3 linked regions of the Mus musculus genome follow. The protein of the gene in region 3 binds, or shares a complex with, the protein of the main gene of each other region. Links are inferred from orthologs where the notes say so. Each region holds a gene or a part of one and is shown on either strand. Other genes may lie near its edges.

Region 1 (4,022 bases), on a different chromosome or scaffold from region 3:
AGGCTAGCCTCAAATTCTCTGTGTAGTTGAGGCTCATCTTGATTTTTTCCCCCTCAAAACAGCTGTCCTGTCTGTCTTCGAGTCCCCTGAGTGCTGGGAATAAAGACATGTGCCACCATGCCTGGCCCTGGGAGGTTCTTCTGTGGGCCAGGCTGGCAGGAAAGGAAGAGATGCTAGACTCAAATTCAGGGATTTGTGCAAGCTTGGGCTTAGGCAGATATTTTACCAACTGAGTTTCATCTACAGCCTTGACTTTCTTTTTTGGGGGGTGGTGGTGAAACTGTCTTATATAGTCTTACTGGCCCAAATACTATGTAGTACCTTGACCTTCCTGCTTCTTTTACCGCGGCCTCTTGGGTGCTAGAATTATAGGCATGTACTACTGGAGAGGAACAAGAGATTAGTGAAGAGGTTTGTGAGAGAGAAAATTAGGCAAGAGGAGTTTTAGAAAATTGAGAATTTCTCATACCTGTTGAACAATATACATCTAGGGCATAGAAACCCAAGGACATCCACCCATGGGGGCAAAGAACGCCACCTAAACTACGAGTGACGTTGCTGAGCACTGAGAATGCAGAGGTGGGCTCAGGGTGTACCTGTAGAGTGCTTGCTTCGTCTGTCCTGAGATCCATCCCCAGCACCTATTAACAGCGGGCATGCTCAACACATGGAATCCCAGCAGTGGGAAGGCAGAGGCAGGACGATAAACTCACGGTCTGTTTCTGTTCAATACCAGCCTGGATACAGTTCTGGATCTGAAGATAGAAGCTAATTCTTTCATAATCCTTCCCCTCCGGCAAACCACGTACAACAGGAGATCTGCTTGCCTGTGCTAAACCCAGCAAGATGTTGGTTTGGGGATCTTCTCTGCAACCCGGTTGGTGGGCGGAACCTTGCTCAGGTTTTCCACCTGCAGTTGGGTGGTGTTGCAAGGACCTCGTCTGCCGGGAGACATATGGAATACTCAACAGGCCTATGCTGCAGCTGGGTTCTCGATGTAGTGAATGTCTGTGGGTGTCTGTTAAGCTCAGAGGCCCACAGTGGAGCAGCAAGGAAGGTCCCACACGTACAAGCGCCTCTCCGCGCCGGCTTTCGCGCGCTGAGCCGGCCAGCTTCCCCGGAAGCCGCGCGCGCAGGCGCGGTGTGGGGGGTCGCGCCCCCTGGCGGCCAGCGGCGACAGTGCGCAGGGTCCGCCTACTGGTCGCGCGCCGCCGCCTCCGCCGCCGCTTGAGCCCAACATGGCGATGCACAACAAGACGGCGCCGCCGCAGATCCCAGACACCCGGCGGGAGCTGGCCGAGCTGGTTAAGCGGAAGCAGGAGCTGGCGGTGAGTGGCCGAGGCCTGGACGCCGTCCCCACTTGGCCTCGCAGGCAGCTCCGGAGGCGAGGACGGCGGGCAGCCAGGGTCTGGGCGCTCTGGGCGGCCGGGCGCGGCGCGGTTCCCTGCGGCGGCGCGGTTCCCGGCCTGCGCTCAGTGGGGCGGGGCGGGGCGGTGAGGGCGCGGGAAGGGCGAGAGGCAGGAGGCGGGGACGACGCTCAGGTCGGGTTAGCGGTTGGAAAGGAGGCGGCTAGACCCCGGCCTGGAGAAGATGCACGATGGATTCCATGGGCGGCGCGTTTCAATGGCCGGGGAATGTGGTGTATTTGAGGATGCCAAGGAACGGGGCTGGCGGGAGACCCAAGACGCAGCCTAGGGAATTTGGATTGGTGACGCGCACCAGGAGCCGCCGGCACCCTGCTGACTGCCCTGTAGGCTCCCGCCTTTTACGGCGAGCATCCGGGAGGCAAAGCTCACCTGAAGCTGCCCTTCCAGGTTTCCATAGCAACCGGCATCCACTGCGGGCGGCCCTTCCAGAGCTAGCAGGGAGGAAGCAGTTGATGTAGAAGAGATGCTTTTGAAAAGCTGTTCACCCTTCTCGCTGCTGGTAGCAACACATTTAGTGAGTGAGAATGGAGACAGCTCACGGTCTGTCTCATCCCTGCTCGTGACAGCTAGGTTTTGCCTCTGAAGTAGATGCAAAATCTTGCATGTGTGTGCATTTTCTGAGGATAGACTATACATTTCATTCTATTTATAAAGGGGTCCATCACCCCTACACTTCCACAGAAATGGTTCATTGTGGGTAAGCTTGACTTTACAAGTCTGTGACGGAATTTCAGTTTGCTTAATGCTTGTTTTTCCCTGTCCCTGTTTTCATCACCTAGGAAACACTTGCAAACTTGGAGAGACAGATATATGCTTTTGAAGGAAGCTACCTGGAAGACACTCAGATGTATGGCAATATTATCCGTGGCTGGGATCGGTATTTGACCAATCAAAAGTGAGTGTCAAAATCTAGTAGTATTAGCTGAGCACTGGTGGTGCACGCCTTTAATCCCAGCACTTGGGAAGCAGAGGCAGGTAGATTTCTGAGTTCGAGGCCAGCCTGGTCAACAGAGTAAGTTCCAGGACAGCCAGGGCTATACAGAGAAACCCTGTCTGGAAGAAAAAAAAATCTAATAGTATCTCTCCATTTTATCCTCTACTAATATTTGGCTGCAGGATTTTTGTTTTGATTTAAAACATGGTCTTACTATGTAGCCCTGGTTAGCCTGGAACTCACTAAGTAAAGCAGGCTGGCCTCGGATTCACAGATCACATAGCTCTTTCTCCCTCTGACTTCTGACTGATAGATTTAAAGGTATGGACTGTCATGTCCAGCTTGGGACATTTGCTTTTGGCATTTACTCTGCAAGGAGATGGTAGAGCCGTAGTGTGGAATGGGGTCTAAGCTTGAACTTGTACTCTGACGGCTCACGGAGAAACCTTGGGGAAGCCAGTATTTGTGATGAAAGAAAATAGGGCCCATGGTGCAGGGATGTGTGGGTGTAAGTGAAGTACAGCCTGTGACCGAACTGTCTTCCACATTTTCATCAGCCACGCTGTGCCATTACGATCTTTGTTCTACCTCCAAGTTCATTGTTACCACTGTCAGCTCAGTCATGCGATTGTATAAAAATGCCTACGCTTGTGAGGAATTTTTCAAATCTGTAGGAAAACTGAGATGAGAATGTGCATGACCAGTTAGTGTTTTTCCCATGTATTCATGAGTTGCTAACTCACTGTGGGTGCATGCTCTCTCTGAAGTACGAAAACTTCTCTGTGTGCTTAAGAACCTTTTGTTTGGAAATAATTTACAGATGGCGATAGAAAGCTGTACAAACAATAGACATGGCTTGTGTGTGCTTACGTAGTTTTCTCTGATGGTTACGTTTTACGTAACTATAGAGTATCATCAAAATCAGGAAATCAAGATTGGCTGTGTGGGGGTGGGGGTGGGGGTGGGTATGGCATTTTAACGTATGTGTATAACTACAGGATGTGAAACCAGGCCCAGGAGATATTGCTCGGTGAGTAAAGGCGCTTGGTGTACAAGCCTGATGACCGGAGCTCAGTTCCCAGAACCTGTGTTAAAAGGCACAACTGGCAACAGGAGAGATGGCTCAGCAGTTAAGAGCACACACTGCTCTGGCAGAGGACAGGAGTTCGACTCCCAGCATCACTGTTAGGTGCCTTACAGCTACCTGTAACGGAGCCCCAGGGGATTAGACTCTGTCTACTGAACTTTTGGACCATCCCCCACCCCCACCCCCACCCCTGCCATTTAACACACATGTGTAAATGCACGTCTGGAATTTTAGCATATGTGGTGGGATTTGGGGACAGGAGAATCGCTCACTTGGGAAGTTTGCAGGACAGCCTGAACTATGTAGTGCTGTCCAAATAACCAGATTGCCTCTGTCTCAACAAGGTAGAAAGCAAGGGCCACTGGTGGAAAGCTGCCCTCTGATTAGTGTGTGTATAAAGATGCAGACCCATTCCGCCGTCACAGGGTCTCCTCCCTGCTCCTCCTCTGTGGTTACATTGCTGTTTGCCCGTGCTTTCTCTCCCTGCTAACCATTGAAGAGTTAGGCGCTTACACCACGAATCTCTGCCTCTAAATATATTATCAGTTACTTCCTGAGAAGAGCAAGGCATCTC
Region 2 (4,165 bases), on a different chromosome or scaffold from region 3:
CTGGTGAGGGGGCATAAGGGAGATTCGCAGTAAATTTGGTGAAGGGCAAAGGGGAGGCCTTGGGGACAGAGAGGAGGGGGTGTACAACTGGAAACTTGAAAGAAACGCCCTTTTACGTTACTAATATAGTTCTGAATCTTAACCATGGAAGAAGTTTATTTTGGTGGACTATAATGTGGGAATAATGATCATCTCTAGGGTCTAAAATTAAATCGGACTGGGTGGAGTGGCGCATGCTTTTAATCCCAGCGCTCGAAGGCCGTGAAGGGACAGGTGGATCTCCGAGTTCCAGGCCAGCCAGGGCTACCTAGTTACAACAGGCCTCAAAAACAAACAAAAAAACGAAAAAAGGCAAAGAAAAGAAAGGAATTTGATTAAATCGGCAGGCCTTTTCTTACAGAAGCCCTTTCCTTTAGATACTAGCACTGTCCTAGTTATTCTCAGTTTTATTAATGCAGTTTGCAAACATAAAAAAGGCAGAAAAATCCACCAAAATGAGGGACCTCGCCTACGCTCACGCGCGCGCGCGCACACACACACACACACACACACACACACACACTCACACACGGCCCCTCCCGTCCCCACCAGGGCAGCACGCCTGCGCACACCCATCATCGCCAGCGCCACGAGGGCGGCTGTGCGCCCACACCCACACTCCACAGCCACGCGAGCCTGCCTGCGCCCGCGTGCGCGCAGACACCCCGTTTCTCCAAAGCATCCAGGCATCCGCCCAGTGGCACTCACCACCCTCACACGCCTCACACCTCAAAACCTTCACCATTCCTTTGCCTTTGGTTTTTTTGGGGGGGCGTTGGTGTTTTTTTTTCCTCTCTCCCCAGGTCCGCGAGTTGCGCAACAGGCTCGGGGGCGTGGCCCCGGGTCTGCCCTCGCTCTTCCCACTCGCGGGAACCTTAGCTCATTTCCGCCTAGCCTGTTTCCGCCAGCCACGTCGGCACTTCCTTTCCCAGCGGGGCGGGGGCGGGGGAGGGGAGCGGACCCACAAACCCATAATGCCTCCCTGCAGGAGAGAAGGCGAGCGCGAGGGGGGGAAAAAAAAAACCCACGGTCAGGGGAACTCTGGGTCGTGAAGACGGGCCACGTGAACGCGCTGCCCTATAGACTTCTGACCCAACGGCTGGAGCGCACTTGGAGGGCGGGCTAAGATCCTAAAAGAACCATCGCCATTGGCGGGAGCCCTCACTGAAGAAGGATGCTAATTGGTTTGCAGTCGGCCCTAAGCATGAAGAAGCAGGTTGCTAGCACCCGCCTTTACTGCGGCTGAGTGTCACTGCTGACGTGGGGGCGGCTGTCCAATCATCTGGGTATGGAACATTCTAAAACTCAGACAAGACGGCTAGGATTGGCTGATGGGCTAAGCCCGCCTCCAGGGTGACGTGTCTGCCTATGGATATCAGTTGCCAGAGAAACCTGGCTTTACTATGGCGGTTGGAGGAGCAGCAGTGATCACACGTCGGCTGCTGGAGAGAGCTGGATTCTCGTTTCAGGTTTCGGGGTGGGGGTGGGGAGGAAGGGTAGATGATTTCCTCTTTTCTTCTTGACTTATGGATAGGATTAACTCGTGCCTTCTCATTCAGGAAAAGCGGAATTCGTATTCCTGCTCGCCAACGCCCAGCTTGGGCAAGGCTCTTTTCTGTGTCTCGGTTTCCATGTTTGTAAAATGGTAATAGTAGCTATCTCAGACGCGGATTCAGATGTGCCTAGTAAAATAGTGCGTGTGAGGCATTCGGTGTGAAGCCTGTCCCCGAAAGGTAGTAGCAATTGTTACTAAAGATATTTCTAGAGGCGATGAAAAATTTTAAATTACGCAAATTTGCTCGATATCGTATCTTTTTCTGTACATCATCCTCTTTCTTAGAAGAAATTATGACGACAGGCATTTATTAAGCCTTCCTGATAAAAATAATTGCTAGCTCATAATTGCTAATAGAATGTGGGGGTCGGAATTTTCCCACATTAAGTCAAAAAGAAAAAGGATGTAGGGGGGGAAAGCGATTGAGAACGACCTCCTGAAGCACATGCGAGGAGTAGGCCTTGTTTGAATCCTGATTCGAGCACACCAATTGTAAAATTTTCTTGAAGACGTATCGGGGATTTTTAAATGCAGGATTAATATTCTTCAATGAAATCGGTGTCAAATTATTAATTTTTTTAATGCTTATGGTGGCGATGTGGTTCTGTTTTCAGAATGCTTTATTTTGTGGAAAGAAATAGAAATGCTTAGGGATTAAATGATGTCAGAAAATGGCTTCAAAATCCATGGATGACTAGGGTCTGCTTCAGGATAATTTCAGCGATAGACAGCGAGGGGAGGGGTATCATCAGGACCCTAGATTAATCATTTAAAGTGAGGGGTGGGCAGATGGGGTTTCCTGGATTTGTCTTTTTTTCCCATGGTATATATTTGAAATATTCTGGAATTCTGAAGTCATTTTTTTCCCGATAGCTTAAAAAACCGTGGGGGGGGGAGCAGTGGGTGGGGTTACAGATGAAACAAGATGGCCTTCAGTTGGTAATTGTTGGAGCTGGATGAAGGATTCGCAGCCGTTTGTACTGCTGTTCTTTTACAATTTTATTTATTTCACATTATCCTTAATAGAAATTAATTAATTTTTTTCCAAAATTGATAAACATACAAGAAAGTACATTTATCTGAAAATAAAACTACAAGAAAAATAGAATTTCTACATTATCAGCTTTGATGTCCTTTGTGTGAGATAAAATTTTATTTACTGATGGAAAGGAAAGTCACCATCTCATATCTTTTTATGTCCTTTTCCATCTCTTTGTTTGACCTTCTAGGTCATCATCAGAAAAGCTAAGTTTGCTATACAGTAAGGATCAGGAGATCTGACCCTGGTTGCAGAACCATTCCTGGTTGCAGAATACAGGGTAAGTGCCTTCCTTCTGGCCTCAGTTTACAGACCAGCTATATCACAACCTTCTTAGATGTGTAGCAGTATTTTGAAGATTAATAAGCTGCCATCTGAGAAAGTGCTTTAAATTCTGAAAAGGGAAGGATAAACAATATAGTCATGCGTAATCTTATTCTCTTAATTAAAAATTAGTGCTCTATGAAGGCTTCACACTTCCAAATATTACATTATTTTTCTCTACAGCAAATACAGATTTGATGGATTTGATTGCTGGCTCTTCGACTTTCTGTGTAATTCTGAGCAAGAAACTTCCTTTGTTCCAAGATGTCTTCATAAAAGTATTTCCTGTAATAATACTTATATGGCTTTAATAGTCATGAAACATTTTATGTATATATAAAAGCACATTTTTGTAGAGAAATAAATAATATTTTCTTGGAATTATTTTTTTAATTAATATTGTTGGTTTCTCTCATTTTCCAGAAGCAGCCATTAACTACTAGGACTGACTTCTGAAATTAAGACTTCTGGTTTTTCCAATCAATCTTTAAAAAATAGCTTTAAGGCTATTTCCTTATGAGGAAATTTCCAAGAACTATAATTTTAGCTACCATATCCAGCATGCTAAGCAATCTTTATGTAATTTTCCTCCTTTGTTCAGACTGGAGACCATCAGTTGGGTTGCGAGTGTAGCCCAGTTGGTAAAGTTGCTTCCCCAGCATACATGGAGCTCCAGGTTTGAATCACCAGCACTGCCCAGACCAGGCCCAGACAGTGGCACATGCTTACAATCTATTAGAGGATAGAGGCAGGGGGGTCAGAAGGTCAAGGTTGACCTCAGCTATCTAGGAAGTTTGCATCTAGCCTGGGATATGAGATCTTTCCTCAATGTTCATTTTTTTAGACATGTAGAATGTTCCAGTATCCATATGAGAAAGCTGATATGTACTTGATTTTAGGCAGAGACCAAGAGATGAAAACATGGTCTAATTAATGTGCCCCCCTCACTTTTAAAGGGCTTGTGACACACACAAAAGTACAATTGGAGTCTGGTTACATGAACCTATGAAAGGAAGGGGTGTGCCTCAGTCTCTTCACAGCGACATTTTTAAAGGAATTCTATAATTGCCTTAATTTCTCTCCTTTGTAAGGACTGTGTTTAAGGGGAAGGCAGTTTCCTGGCAGAGAGGCAATTTAGAGAATAAGTGAGAGTTGATCCATAGTAGATCTATAGATACTGGCAAAGCAGAGGCCAGAGAGATCTGAAA
Region 3 (3,500 bases):
TCTTGCAAGAGGATCTGGGTTTTGGTTTACACCACCCACAGTGACTCACAACCATCTGTAACCCTAGTTCCAGGCACTCTGATGCCATTTTCTGACATGCATGAGCACCAGGGACACATGCTACACAGACATACATACAGGCAAAATAACCATATATATCTTTTTTTTTTTAATTTAATGAGTACTTTAAAATTTTTTTTACAAAAACAAGATCCAGAATGTTTGAGATAAGAGTCATGAGTGATATTTTCTAAAAGACTAAAGAAGGAGCTGTTGACTTGAGGCAGTGACTAGCTCTTAGAGAATGTGTACAGCATGCAGATCAAATGGATACTGAGGCTCTGCAAGGAGGGGAAACTCCCCTTAGTCTTGAAGTTGATTGTGTCTGAGGTCATTGAAACAAAGCAAAGAGCTAAAATCAGAAATCTAAGGGTTGGAGGTAAAAAGCCAATACAGGGAATAATGGAGAAGTGACTATTAATCAATAGACTAGAACATGACAGTCTGGGAGTGTGAAAGGACAAAAAAGTAAAGTCACTAATCAAATGTCATATAAAATAAGATTTAAGAGCAGGCATAGATAGTAGTGAATGCTTTTAATCTCAGCATTCAGGAGGTGGAGGCTGCAAATCTCTGAATTTGATGCCAACCAGACTACAAAGTGCATTCCTTGCCAGCCAGGGCTACATAGTGAGATTTTGTCTCACTAAATAAGGTTATATTTGAGGAGGTTAGTATTTTGGAAAACAGACCACTGAATTGAGAAAACAAGGTTGTTGGTGAATTTTGCAGGCTAAATAAGGATTAAAAAGGGACAACAAATTGTGCAATATATATACCTTGAACCAGGTCTCAGAGTGTGGTCTACAGACTCCGCTGCAGTAATACCCTTATGCCTTTTGTGTTTTGAGCCTGCTTCAGGTTTTTTGTTTTGTTGTTGTTGTTTGCTTTGCTTTTTTTCTTTCTGGGTTGTTGGACAGGGTATAAAATTCTTTCAGTGTAATGGAATTGGAAAATATTAAGGGTGTAAAACATGTGTTTGGAAAAGGTCTTGTGATAATTGAACAAGATTTAGAAGTATAAAAGTAAAAAAAAGTGTTAAAAATAAATGTGGGGAAAATTAGACATGGTTCTACAAGTCTGTAATTACAGGCTTGAGAATTTGGAGCAAGAGGATTTCAAGTTCAAGAGGTAGTACTGGCAAGCAGGAATGCTGCTTATTAATTGGCGCCTAAGGCATGGTTACAGAGTTAAGAGGACTCTTGGTTGGGCCCAATCAGTCGTAGTGTCGTAGAAGAATATGGTAAAAGACAGCCAAGTTGAAGCTTGGAGAAGGTGGGGGATTGGCAAAAGGTTTGGTTTTTGTTTGTTTGTTTTATCTATGTAAAAAATCAGAAGAGAAGGAAAACATGTTAGGACTAACAACCTGACACTTAACCACTAGATGGTTATTTTTATCCTGGTTTTGTGTGTGTGTGTGTGTGTGTGTGTGTGTGTGTGTGTGTGTGTAGAAATCAAAGAGCAACTTGAAATAGTGGGATATCTTTACTATGTGAGTCCTGTCAATTCAACTCTGGTCATCAGACTTTGGCAGTCAAGCATTTCACACACTGGGCACTAGGTGGCTTAATCATAAAGTATTTTAGTCAGTAATTGGCCAAAGACATTCATTTTTCCAAGCATCTTAAGTCATCCCTTTGTAAACTTTGCTTTTCTGAAGTCAATTCTGTATGATTTTTGTTTGTTTAGTTTCTGATATTCATTAACAATCTATATCAGCTTCTTGTTATTGTATCTCTTTACTTAACATCCAGTGAGAAAGTGTTTTTTACTTGTAAAGCATCTTCATGTAATAGGTTTTCATTTTAGAATGTTGTTTAAAATATCATTTTTATAATAGTGGTATACATGTTCAAGTATTTGGGATTCTCTTGATTTCAAAGGTGCTGGCTGATGGATTCCTGATGATTGGGATTGATGGCTCAGAAGCAGCAGATGGATCTGACTGGTTCTGTTATCATGCAACCTCTCCTTCCATTTTCCCTGTGGGTTTCTGTGAAATTAACATGATAGAACTGACTCCACCCAGAGGTACTCCATTCTGGTATAAACACTCAGTTTCTAGCCTTGCTTTGTTTTTGTGTGTTAATCTGCTTACATTTAACATAGCCCTAATCTTAGTTGTTGTACGTGTATTTATACACAGTATGTATGAGTATGTATAAGTAGACTAAAACATACAAGAGCTGTGAGATATTCTGAAGCCAAGCCTGGTAGTACATGCCTGAAATCCCAGCACTTGGGAGCAAAGCCAGGATGATCGACTACAAGTTGGAAACTTGCCTATTCTATATAGTGAGTACAGGCCAGTCAGGGCTATACAACAAGACCCTGTCTCAATGTTAATACATTAAAGTAAAAATACAATCTTTGGGTGCTAGAGAGATGGCTCAGGGGTTAAGAGCACTGACTATTCTTCCAGAGGACCAGGGTTCAAATCCCAGCACCCACATGGCAGCTCACATATGTCTGTAACTCCAGGATCTGACATTCTCACACAGAAATACAGGCAAAACACCAATACACATAAAATAAAAAGTTTTAAAACCCACAACCTTTGTATTCTAGTTTATTTTAATAAGTTACAATGGAAGTTTTTCCTGAATTTGTGTCAATATATATAGACCCTCTAATACAGTGATCTCAGTACGTTCCTATATACATTTTTGTTTGTTTGTTTGTTTGTTTGTTTGTTTTATTTGGGGTTTTTTTGTTTGTTTGTTTTTTGGTTTTGGTATGGGTGTTTTGCCTGTGTGTATGGTCTGTACCATATGTATAGTCTGGGTGCCTGGTGCCTGAGGAGCCAAGAAGAGAGCATCAGAGCCCTGGAAACGCAGGTGCTAGAAAATGAGCCCTGTTTTTCTGGAAGAGCAGCCACTGGTCTTAGCTCCCACATGAACTTTTTAGTATTTTAGGTATTAAATAGTATTTTAAGTGTCCACTTAATGGATACTTAGCCTTCAAAGATTAAAAAAAAGGCTCTCTCTTTTTAGATTATCATATGCCTTTTAAAAATTGGGGGGGCGGGGGTGGTTAGGAGGTTTTGGTTTGGTTTGGTTTTTAGTTTTTCAAGACAGGGTTTTGAGACAGCCCTTGTTGTCCTGGAACTCACTCTGTAGACCAGGCTGGACTTGAATTCAGAAATCTGCCTGCCTCTGCCTCCCAAGTGCTGGGATTAAAGGCGTGCGCCACCACCACCCAGCTTGTTTGTTTTGTTAAGATATGATTTCCGTATTCTTGATAATCTGAAACTTATTATATAGATCATACATATTTTCCTGCCTCTGCCTCCAGAGTGCTGGGATTAAAGGTGTGCACAACTACACCCAGCTATCCATCTTTTAAAAGAAAGTTATTTTTTAAAAAAGAAAGTTATGTTTTTAGCAACTCCCATGATTTAACCACTGACCTTTAATACCTTTACCTTGGGTTTTTCTCTA

What was found.
Region 1: Mbtd1 (region 3) and Meaf6 share a complex: the UniProt entries of both Homo sapiens proteins name them as parts of the nuA4 histone acetyltransferase complex. The link is inferred for Mus musculus from reciprocal best matches to the Homo sapiens genes MBTD1 and MEAF6.
Region 2: Mbtd1 (region 3) and Morf4l2 share a complex: the UniProt entries of both Homo sapiens proteins name them as parts of the nuA4 histone acetyltransferase complex. The link is inferred for Mus musculus from reciprocal best matches to the Homo sapiens genes MBTD1 and MORF4L2.

The regions. Positions count from the first base shown.
Region 1 is NC_000070.6:125,083,939-125,087,960, forward strand, and holds the start of Meaf6 (chromatin modification-related protein MEAF6), read left to right. Parts: upstream 1-1,222; 5' UTR 1,223-1,238; coding exon 1,239-1,328; intron 1,329-2,206; coding exon 2,207-2,322; intron 2,323-4,022.
Region 2 is NC_000086.7:136,738,553-136,742,717, reverse strand, and holds the start of Morf4l2 (mortality factor 4-like protein 2), read left to right. Parts: upstream 1-1,365; 5' UTR 1,366-1,508; intron 1,509-1,562; exon of another isoform or gene 1,563-1,772; intron 1,773-2,823; 5' UTR 2,824-2,913; intron 2,914-4,165. UniProt on the Homo sapiens protein: Component of the NuA4 histone acetyltransferase complex which is involved in transcriptional activation of select genes principally by acetylation of nucleosomal histone H4 and H2A.
Region 3 is NC_000077.6:93,927,671-93,931,170, forward strand, and holds part of Mbtd1 (MBT domain-containing protein 1), read left to right. Parts: intron 1-1,943; coding exon 1,944-2,091; intron 2,092-3,500. UniProt on the Homo sapiens protein: Chromatin reader component of the NuA4 histone acetyltransferase complex, a multiprotein complex involved in transcriptional activation of select genes principally by acetylation of nucleosomal histones H4 and H2A.